2 linked regions of the Cricetulus griseus genome follow. The protein of the gene in region 1 purifies or fractionates together with the protein of each later gene. This does not show direct contact. Links are inferred from orthologs where the notes say so. Each region holds a gene or a part of one and is shown on either strand. Other genes may lie near its edges.

Evidence for each region.
Region 2: the proteins of Hdac6 (region 1) and Dnaja1 purify together in Homo sapiens (affinity purification with mass spectrometry; 4 studies listed by BioGRID and IntAct, with this or other methods). This does not show direct contact. The link is inferred for Cricetulus griseus from reciprocal best matches to the Homo sapiens genes HDAC6 and DNAJA1.

The regions. Positions count from the first base shown.
Region 1 is NC_048604.1:114,416,877-114,422,302, forward strand, and holds the start of Hdac6 (histone deacetylase 6), read right to left. Parts: upstream 3,307-5,426; 5' UTR 3,216-3,306; intron 3,210-3,215; exon of another isoform or gene 3,051-3,209; intron 2,676-3,050; 5' UTR 2,646-2,675; coding exon 2,556-2,645; intron 2,471-2,555; coding exon 2,342-2,470; intron 2,214-2,341; coding exon 2,125-2,213; intron 96-2,124; coding exon 11-95; intron 1-10.
Region 2 is NC_048595.1:101,868,193-101,872,889, reverse strand, and holds part of Dnaja1 (dnaJ homolog subfamily A member 1), read left to right. Parts: intron 1-2,578; coding exon 2,579-2,693; intron 2,694-3,807; coding exon 3,808-3,923; intron 3,924-4,143; coding exon 4,144-4,244; intron 4,245-4,697.

The DNA.
Region 1 (5,426 bases):
AGAGGTTCACCTGAAAGGACACACAACGGTCCAGCAGGCTCTCCAGGATCAGCTGCTCTTTGATGGCATGGAGCCGCTCAGGGCATTCAGGGAAGCTGGGGAGGTGGAGATGCAGTCACACATACAAAGAAGCAAGACACTGGGGAGCAAATCCGCTCCAGTAACCTCTGCAGCCCCCTACCCCCATAGCTGCTCACTCCTTACCCGTGGCACCAGCCTTTCTTCTTGTCATTCCCGAAGCCTTATACTTTCGTCCCCACTTCCATTTATGCCACCAGAACCTCCAGTCTGAGCTGTCTGTCACATCACCTTGTCCAGAACCTCCCTGCTACTATACTTACTCACCTAACAGTCCCTTCTGTATACAGCAGCCGGTGGTGAAAATTCTACTACTCAAACCCTTTTGTAGCTCCTACTCTGTTTACAGTTGGCATCAAAATATTTATCATACCTAGAAGGCCCTAAAAAAATCTATCCTCATCCTTTTTCTGAGCCTAATTTTTCTTTCTTTCTTTCCTTCTTTCTTTTTGTTTTTTGAGAAAGGGTTTCTCTGTTGTAGCTTTGGAGCCTGTCCTGGAAGTCACTCTGTAGACCAGGCTGGCCTCGAACTCACAGAGATCTGCCTGACTCTGCCTCCCGAGTGCTGGGATCAAAGGCGTGTGCCACTGACTAGCCAGCCTGGCCCTATTTATCACATGCCTCCTCTTTCACTGTTTTACCAGCAGTGGTCTCCTTGGTCTTCAACTGAACACATACCTTTCAGCCAGGCCCATGGACTTCAACGCCTTTTGCCTAGAACACTCTTTTCCATAATGACTCCATGGCTCACTCCCTTAATGCCCTCCTTGTAATTTTATTCACATCTCAGCAATGCCTTCCCTGGCTGTTGTATTAAAAAACGGAAGCACCCCATTCCACTCAAGCTTTACTCTCCTGGCCACCTTAGTTCTTCTGGATAGCGCTGTTCTGACACTCTTCCTGATGACTTTTGAAGGCAGGTTAGTTTACTGCTGCATCCCTAGCTCCTCAACAGATGCAGACAGACCATAAACGGAACCTTTTAACACCATTAGTTCATCTTTGGTCACCATACGGGAGATAGCTACTATATTTGTAAACATCAGTGTAATGATTAACAGACAATGGCAGAGGCTAGTGAAGTATCTAAGATCAGATGGGAGAGAGGTACTGGCCAGTGAAAGGCTTTTGTGAGAGTCTCAATAGTTGGGAAAGTTGAAAGAGGGATCAGTCAAGGGTAAAGACCCATGGCTAGAGGGTGCCTGGCATGCTGTAAGAACAGTCAGGAGACCAGTGTGGGTGAAGTGAACTGAAGCAAATGAGGAAAGAACTGGCTGAATAGGTCACTAAGGGTGATGTGAAGCCAAGTCACGTGGAACCTTGGAGGCCAGGCTAAAGAATTCAGACTTTACCTTAAGAGCTCTGCCCTTGAAGTATTTTAAGAATGGCTTTACTGTGGAGGTTGGAAGTAGGAGACCAGTGAGGAGAAGTCAGATAATATATTTTGAACATAGAGACAAAAGGAATGAGCAGATTCTTAAGTATGTTTTGGCATAAACGTCTCTACCTCAAGGAAGGCTCTGGGACTCCAAATGCAAGCTACTCCAGGGCTGTCTAATAAACACCTCTGGCCAAGTGTGGGAGCTCATGCCTGTAATCTCAGCACTCAGGAGGCTAAGACAGGAAGATCCTCAAAGGGTTGACACTGGCTTAGGCTAAATAGTGAGTTCCAGGAAAGCCTAGGCTATAGAGTCAGATTTTGTCTCAAAACAAAAACAAAAACACATGAATTCCTAGTCACTTGGTCCCCGTTAAAAACTTCATAATGCTGTTGGCTGTTTAATAATCTCCCCTCATACTCACCAATCAGCTGAGCAGGGGCTTCTCCATTTTGTTCACATATATCACCAACTCTTGGCACACAGTAGACACTTGATATATGTGTTGGTTTAAAGAGAACTCTTTCAAGAATGACCCCCACCTCCCTAAATCATCTGCTTCCAGACTACAGGCTCCAATAAGAAAAGATTCACTCTTGCTTGGGGGAGAGGGGAGCAGAGGTACAAATGTTCTACTTTGGGGACAATCTAGAGGTCCCAGCCTCACCTGTCATCCCAAAGGCAGTGGAAGTCATTTAGTTGTTCATCAAACACCAATCCAGTACCAACCGATAATCTTGTCTCAGGGTTCAGATCCTGCAGGGGGAAAGAAACACAGATTCATTCAGAGCCCCAACACAGAAAACACTGCATAGTGTCTAGGGTGGGGAAAATAATTGTTTTGTTTGGTAAAGAAGGCCAAACTGCAGCCAGGCATCTCTCACCAGCCCTTGAAGCCCCACGATCAGGTCTTCTTCAACAGCTTGGCTGAGCTTCTTCATTTTGCCTTTCTTCTTTACCTCTGCTAGATTGGGGCTGGAGTGCATCGCAGTACCCTTCTTAACACCCCGTTTCTGACAATCAGAGAGAAGGATCAGAGTCTGGACATGGCTGGCTGGCTTTCCCTCCCCCCTCATCAGCGCGCGTCTGGGGCCTCACCAAGGTGGCGCTGGAGTCCTGGGGGGGCGACTGAGGATTGTGCCTACTCCTTCGTTGTTTGGTAGAAGAATCTTGGCCGGTGGAGGTCATGGCTGAAGGGCCTTTGGTCCTGGCACGGGTCTAACAGGGGTGTAGTTGACGGTGAAGCCCCAGGAGTGTCCAGAGGACCCCACATCCTTGCCCCTTTACAGGCCCCGCCCCTATTCTAGATCGCATCCTTCACGCTGTTCCATTCCTGTGCATTCTAAACCCCGCCCCTCAAGGCCATCTTCTGCCATAGAGGAAACCTGGTCCCCTGAAGGCCATCTTCTGCCACAGAGGAAACCTGGTCTCGTCCGCCCATTCCCCTGGACCTCGCTGGTTTTTATACGATTCTCCTTCATCTTGCTTTTGCACTCAACAAGGTAACCCCAGGCTCAATCTGGCTCTTTTAAGACCTACCTGCCCTTTCCAATCACCGCTCCCCACCTCTCTACTTTCCACACCCTTTCATACCGCTAATCCTCGCCCGGAACGGTTGGCTTCTGCAACCTGTCCTCTTCAGCCTATCTCCCAGGTTAGTCAACGACCCTTCTAGTCCGCCAGGCCAAGCAGAGGCGGCCTCGGCACCACCCTTAAAGACTACACTTAACTCCACCTCCTATAGGGCCGAACCCGCACCTTCCACACCCTCTGATCTCGCCCAAATCCTTTCACTGTGCCCCCGCTGCTCAGGGGACTGCCCCTTTCGATCAGAATCCATTAGACCCCACCCCCTTCTCAGATGCCTAACGTTTAACCAAGCTCCCTCCGCCAGCTCTAAGCCTCCGCCCCCTCCCCGCCCGGCCATAGACGTTAGCCAATCCTTTCCCCCACTACTCACTGGGCGCATCCTCTTTCTCAAACTCCGCCCTTGACTCGCACCGCCAAATTCCCGGCGACCTGTGTGGCCCCGGGCACCTGATTCCTTCTTTTCCATTGGGCTGAGCGTTTTAATTTGCCCGCCCACGTCCAGCCCACAGCGCGGATCCCCAACTCCTCAGCCGCACACCACACCTCTCGCGAGCTCACCAAACTGACTACCGGGTAATACTGCGCCTGCGTAAAGTGTGACTCACTGGTTCGAGACCCGGATCTGCCCCTAGCGCTACCCTCCCCCACCTCCCCACCCCCACTCCCATCCACTGTTCTCGCTCTGTTTGCTATGATTGCCATTCTCAATTCCAGGCCAGTCATCATAGGAGCCCTACGGACCGGCATCGGTTGTACTGTGCAGTGATTCGAGAGCAAATCAAAGAAGCCAGGGCGTTCAAAAGGGATTCCTGCGCTGCACTTGGCGATGACGTAACTAGGGCAGGCAGGTGACTGGTCCGAGATAAAGGCTAATAATAGACTATTGACTAGTAAGGACTGTGGCTGCTGGCAGCCACAATGAGAGTGGGATACGTGTTGAGAATTTTCTCAGTTAGTACTCACTACGGTAGTACTCAAGCATCTCCATGTTAACTATTAACATTCTGCGAAAACGGGTAGGGGCGCGGAAGGAGTCGCTAAGTGGCACATGTTGCCAGAAAGCCACACTTCTGTAATATAGTTCGCATTGTTAAGGCTGCGTTGCAGAGGGACTTAGACATATGATTTTGGACAAGTCACAGCTCTGCCCTCAGTTTCCTTATCTGGAAAACTGTGATGCTGGTACCAAGACCAGAATGGACTTGGGAAGGATGTTTTCCTGGATGGCAGCTCAATCTACCTGCCCCCTCCACTGAGTAATCAAAGTAATAGCATGTGGTGGACTGGAGAGGGAAAATTGTCACTGTGACTCTTTGGGACTTCCACTCTGTGTCTAAGTTTCAGTCCCACTAGAGGACAATTTGTCCTCCTGATCGCCCACTCTCTTCCCTTCCCATTTCCTGCTGGGCTGTATGCTGAAGCTAGAAAGAAACCTTCTGGGGTTCTACATCACTGACTAGCAAATAGATTAACAGTCCCCAAATCCAGTAGCCAGAGCTTCTGACCCCCTTGCAAATGCCAGTTTTAGTCCCCCGAATTGCCTTAAGGGCTATGGGTCTAAATCTGCATACACTAAAGAAAATACATAATGATACATAATAAAGAACATTCTGGGGTGTGATACCTACAGAGCAATATATTAAACAGTGAAGTCTCATTTCCTGTACAACAGGAGTCAGTAAAATTTTAAAAAGGGCCAGATAGCAAATAAAGGCTTTGCAGACACATGTAATCTTTTTGTTTGTTTGTTTGAGACAGGGTTTCTCTGTTTAACAACCCTGGCTGTCCTGGAACTTGTTCTGTAGACCAGGCTGGCCTCGAACTCACAGAGTTCCACCTGCCTCTACCTCCCAAGTGCTGGGATTAATGGTATGTGCCACCATGCCCAGCATATTTTATTTATTTTGTCTGTGTGTTTGCCAGTGCCTAAGGAGGCCAGAGAGGGGCACTGGATCCTCCAAGAGCTGAACTTCCAAGTGTTTGAGCCATTTGATGTGGGTGCTAGGATTCAAGCATGGAGCCATCTCTCTAGCTCAACAACCATGAGGAACTGTATTAAAAGATTGTAGCATTAGGAAAGTTGAGAACCACTGACTTAAAACCATAAAAATCAGCTCAAAGTATGGCTTTTAATGATCTCTGCTGCAGAGTTCTTGGTTTCCTTCATCTGGCTGATTTCTTTTACAGAATGAAGGCAAATGTGCTGGATAGTTTTATGTCAACTTGACACAAGCTAAAGTCATCTGAGAGGAGGGAACTTCAATTAAGAAATTGCCTTCATCAAGCTGGGCATGGTAGCACATGCCTTCAATCCCAGCACTTGGGAGGCAGAGGCAGGGGGATCTTTGTGAATTCAAGGCCAGCCTGGTCTATAGAGCA
Region 2 (4,697 bases), on another chromosome or scaffold:
GAATGTGTGTGCCCACCAGGCATTGGTGGGGAACGTCTTTAATCCCAGCACTTGGGAGGCAGGGGCAGGTAGATCTGGGTGAGTTCAAGGCCAGCCTGATGTATAGAGCGGGTGCCAGGATAGGCTCCAAGGCTACACAGAAAAACCCTGTCTCGAAAAACAAAAGGAATATGTGTGCATATCAGTCCTTTTTTTCTGGTTCAGCTTAATAAAAATTTCTTTTTCTTCTATTGAGATGGGGATTTTGCCGAGGCTGGCCTCACTCTGTCCTTTGGCTAAATAACTTGTTTGTTATTTTGAGATAGAGTGGGACTTCTGTACTTAGGGGTGACCATGAACTCTTGGTCCTCCTGCCTCCATCTCCCAAGTGTTGGGACTACAGCTGGGTAGTACAGTTAAATTCACATTCAAGTTAAAAGAATACAGTAAAAATGGGGTTTGGGGCTGGGAGGTCAAGGCACACACCTTTAATTTCAGCACTCAGATCTGAGTTCAAGGCCAGCCTGATCTACAGAGAGGGTTCCACGGCTACACAGAGAAACCCTGTCTTCAAAGACAAAAAAAAATAGTTTTCACCGATGTTTTATCAATTCTTTGGGAATTTCCCCTCATATACCCTATACCCCTATCCCATTTGCTTCCCAGTCTTTCCTGTCCATGACCTTCCCCATAAATAGAATCTAGTCCTTGCAATCCTGCTGAAGGCCACCTGTTATATAGAGTGACACTTCAGCATCTTACCACGGTTTTTTTCTTTTCAGTGGCTTCTTGGTTAGGCTCTTACTGGGGAAAGGGGTAGAGGTTGTCACAGAAGTTTTCCATGTTCCTTTCTAAACTGTGCCTCTCACTGCCAGTGTAGCTTATTTGCTCTTTGTGGTCTTTGGGGGCATGGATCATGGGCTTTCACGTGGTTTGTGGCGTTAGCACAGAATATTAACAGGGCTCCTGGTTACAGTAGGGCTGTGGGCCCAGACAAGGCCCTCTGATGCAGCTGGGATCATGTACATGGCCATAGCTTCAGGTTGTAGCATAGACCATGACATCCGCCCAGCCTTCAGTGGCAACATGGGGCAGTTTTTACGTTTTTTAACATTTTTTTAATGATTAATTTATTTTTATTTCATGTGCATTGGAGTATTGCCTATATGAGAATGTTGGATCCCCTGGAACTGGAGTTACAGGCAGTTGTGAGCTGCCACTTGGATGCTGGGAATTGAACTACTCTTAACCACTGAGCCATCTCTCCAGCCCCGGTTTTTAACATTTTTCAACAAAGTTTCAGTATGTAGCCTACTTCTGCCTCCCTAGTGCTGGGATCTTAAGCCTGCCCCCCAAACATGGTCCCTGGGCTCACTGATGGTATAATAAGCATGAGGGCCTGAGTTCAAATTCCCAGCACCAAAGGGGTTTCCAGCTAGGTGTGGCCATATACTAGTCTGTATACTCCTGCCATGGAGGTCTAGGGGGTGAAGACCACATCACTGGGGCTTGTGGCCTAGGTGGACAAAGGATATCTGACCACCTCTCCTGGCCTCCATGAACATGTATACAGCACACCAAAAGAAAAGAGATGGGGAAAACTTCATTAAACTATGTGGGGCAGAATTAGAAGCAGGTAGAAGTTTCAATAAACATACCATTTTTAAAAAAAAAAAAAAAAAGTGCTATATTGAAAAATACTCAGTATTTTGTATATGGACCACTAAGATAGTATCCAATAGTAAACAATCTTTTTTTGGGTTTTCAAGACTGGCTGTCCTGGAACTTACTCTGTAGATCAGGCTGGCCTTGAACTCAAATCTGTCTGCCTCTGCATACTGGGATTAAAGCCACCACCACCTGGCTAACACCTTTTTGTTTTTAGTAAGTCTAGGTACTGGGTAATGACTTACTACAGAGCTATGTATCGAAAAAGATGAATTTTTACTTTAGTTTTTGAGCAGAATGAACATGATACAGGAAAGATAATAAAGAGTGGAAGGGAAGAAGCTTCAAGGAAAGAATACTTAATTATGAATTTACTTAAGTAAACAGTTTTCTTATGAGAAATACTGCTGGTACAACAAAAAAGGCAATTGACACTGCTGCTTAGATTAATGGTAGTAATTACAGATTGTTACACAATAGAAATAATTAACAGTTAGTGGCTATAGTGTTTGCCAGTTGCCAATTTGGTTCCAGCGTGGGCATTTTTAATCCTCAGTAGCTTGAATGAAATGTCTCTTTGGGAAAGTTGAGACTTAGGATGGATATGCAGCTAAGTATAAAGGGCCTGATTCTTTGTAGAGAATTGTGTCCTCTACTGTTTGATAGCCTTAAAAGTAGTCCTTTTAAGCCATTTCTGTGGTATCTTTCATCCACAAAGAGGATGCTTAAAAAAAAAAAAAAAAAAAAAAATTGTGCATGTAGAGGCCAGAAGGATGTCTTGCAGGAATTGTACTGAGGATTGAACCCAGGGCCTCAGCATATGCTATACCACTGGATTACATTCTCAGACCACATGTGTATTTTAGTAGATTTTATGATCTTGACCTTCATGTCCAATATCAGTAAAAGTACAAAATCAATCTGTGTTTAGGCATGAAAGATGGTCAGAAGATAACATTCCATGGTGAAGGAGACCAAGAACCAGGACTGGAACCAGGAGATATTATCATTGTGTTAGACCAGAAGGACCATGCTGTTTTTACACGGTAAAGACTTAATCTCAAACTAACTTCTTGCCTGTTTCTGTTTGTTTCTGTGGCTGGATAATACCCCTTCAGTCTCAGGACAGTCAATTCAAAGTAATAACTTTCACCTTAGTTCATGCTGAGTTTTGATTTTTTTCTTGGGTTTTTTGTTTGTTCTCTGTATTGCTTTGGAGGCTATCCTGGCATTCCCTCTGGAGACCTGGGTGGCCTCCAACTCAGAGATCCGCCTGCCTCTGCCTCCAGAGTGCTGGGATTAAAGGTGTGCACCACCAATGCCTGGCTGAGTTTAGTTGTTTTATGTGTAAATACCCAAACACTTTGAATAAAAAACTACAATTTAAGACTCTTTAAGTATATGTACACATTCAAGTCTGCTGTACTGAATTTGTATCTTGAAGCACAAGATTTCCAAACTCAACTTGGAGGTGTGGCAGGTGTATATTCTGTATTGGAAAAGATTTCAGAGTTGGGGAAGTTAACTTAAGGCATAATACTTAATATATTCTTAGCAAAGAACTTTTTACTATCACTTAAATAGTCATAATTGGCCTAAGTAAAGATCTAACCCAGGTCTGTTTTCAATTTGCAATTTGCACTGATTCCTGTGTTCCAAATGTGTGTTGGCTTCTTTTAGCCTCAATTTTTTTTTGGGGGGGGGGTCTTTTTTTCTCTTCCCCTCTTAAGTACCAGATTTAGCTAGCAGTGGTGGTGCATACCTTTAACCTTAGATCTCTGTAAGTGCAAGGCCATCCTACAAATCAGTTCCAGGACAGCCAGAGCCTTTTTTTGTTTGTTTTTTCACAGAAACCCCTCCCATTCCCACCCCGTCTCAAAAAACCAGGGTGTGGGGAGTGTAGGTTTAAGCAGCTTTGGTCTTCCTGCCCTTTGTGTTCTACCTCTTAAGTGCTGGCAATATAGGCAAACATACACCATTGTACCCAGCTCTGTGGTTGAATTTTGTAGGCTATTCAGCAAACAGCTGGCCAATTCCAAATAATTTGCTAATCTCAGCTTTCAGTTGTTTGGTTTCCAAATGATAAGTTTGCCCACTGTGGTGTGTAGTCATTTGGTGGTTTGAAATATGTGACTATGCCTTTTATTTATATTGCTATAGACGAGGAGAAGATCTTTTCATGTGTATGGACATACAGCTGGTTGAAGCATTGTGCGGCTTCCAAAAGCCAATATCCACTCTTGACAACCGAACCATAGTCATCACTTCTCATCCAGGTACAACTAGATGAGCCTGTTTTCATGTTTGGACTTCTGAGGAAAAAGTGTCCTTTCCTTGCTTATGTCCTTCCTAGGGCTGAAACAAAATTATAGCGAGGGCCTGGATGAATGTTGGATACCTCAAGACAACATGGTTGTTGGTTTTCTCGTCTGTGGGGGGGTGCCTTATGCAAATGTTGACCATACTTAAGAATGAATTTGGCATCAATGTCTTTAGGTCAGATTGTCAAGCATGGAGATATAAAATGTGTGCTAAATGAAGGTATGCCAATATATCGTCGGCCATATGAAAAGGGACGTCTTATCATTGAGTTTAAGGTAAGCTATAATGTTCAAGGACATTTGAGAATGGTTAGCTAATATAAACCAAGTACATGCGCTTACTCTTTGTCCAGAAAGAATTGGAAAACCATGTGACTTGATGGCTGCAGGGGATGCTGGCTGGCTTAGAAAGTCGTACTTTGTTAGCACCTGGCCTGGGTAGTGTGTCCCTATAATCTAGCACACCAGGGGGTTGGTAAAGAATAAACCATCTGGCCAGACAGTGGTGGTGCACACCTTTAATTCCAGCACTCAAGGTCATCCTGGTCCTACAGAGCGAATTCCAGGACAGCCAGGGCTACACAGAAAAATCTGGGAAAAATTCTTAAAAAGAATACTAAATGGTTCTAAACCAGAGTTGCAAGGTGTACCTCAAGAAATGGGAAATTACATGTTTTTCTGGGGAAAATAGTTGAGTGTACTTTAAAGATTAGAATCAACCTTAACCTG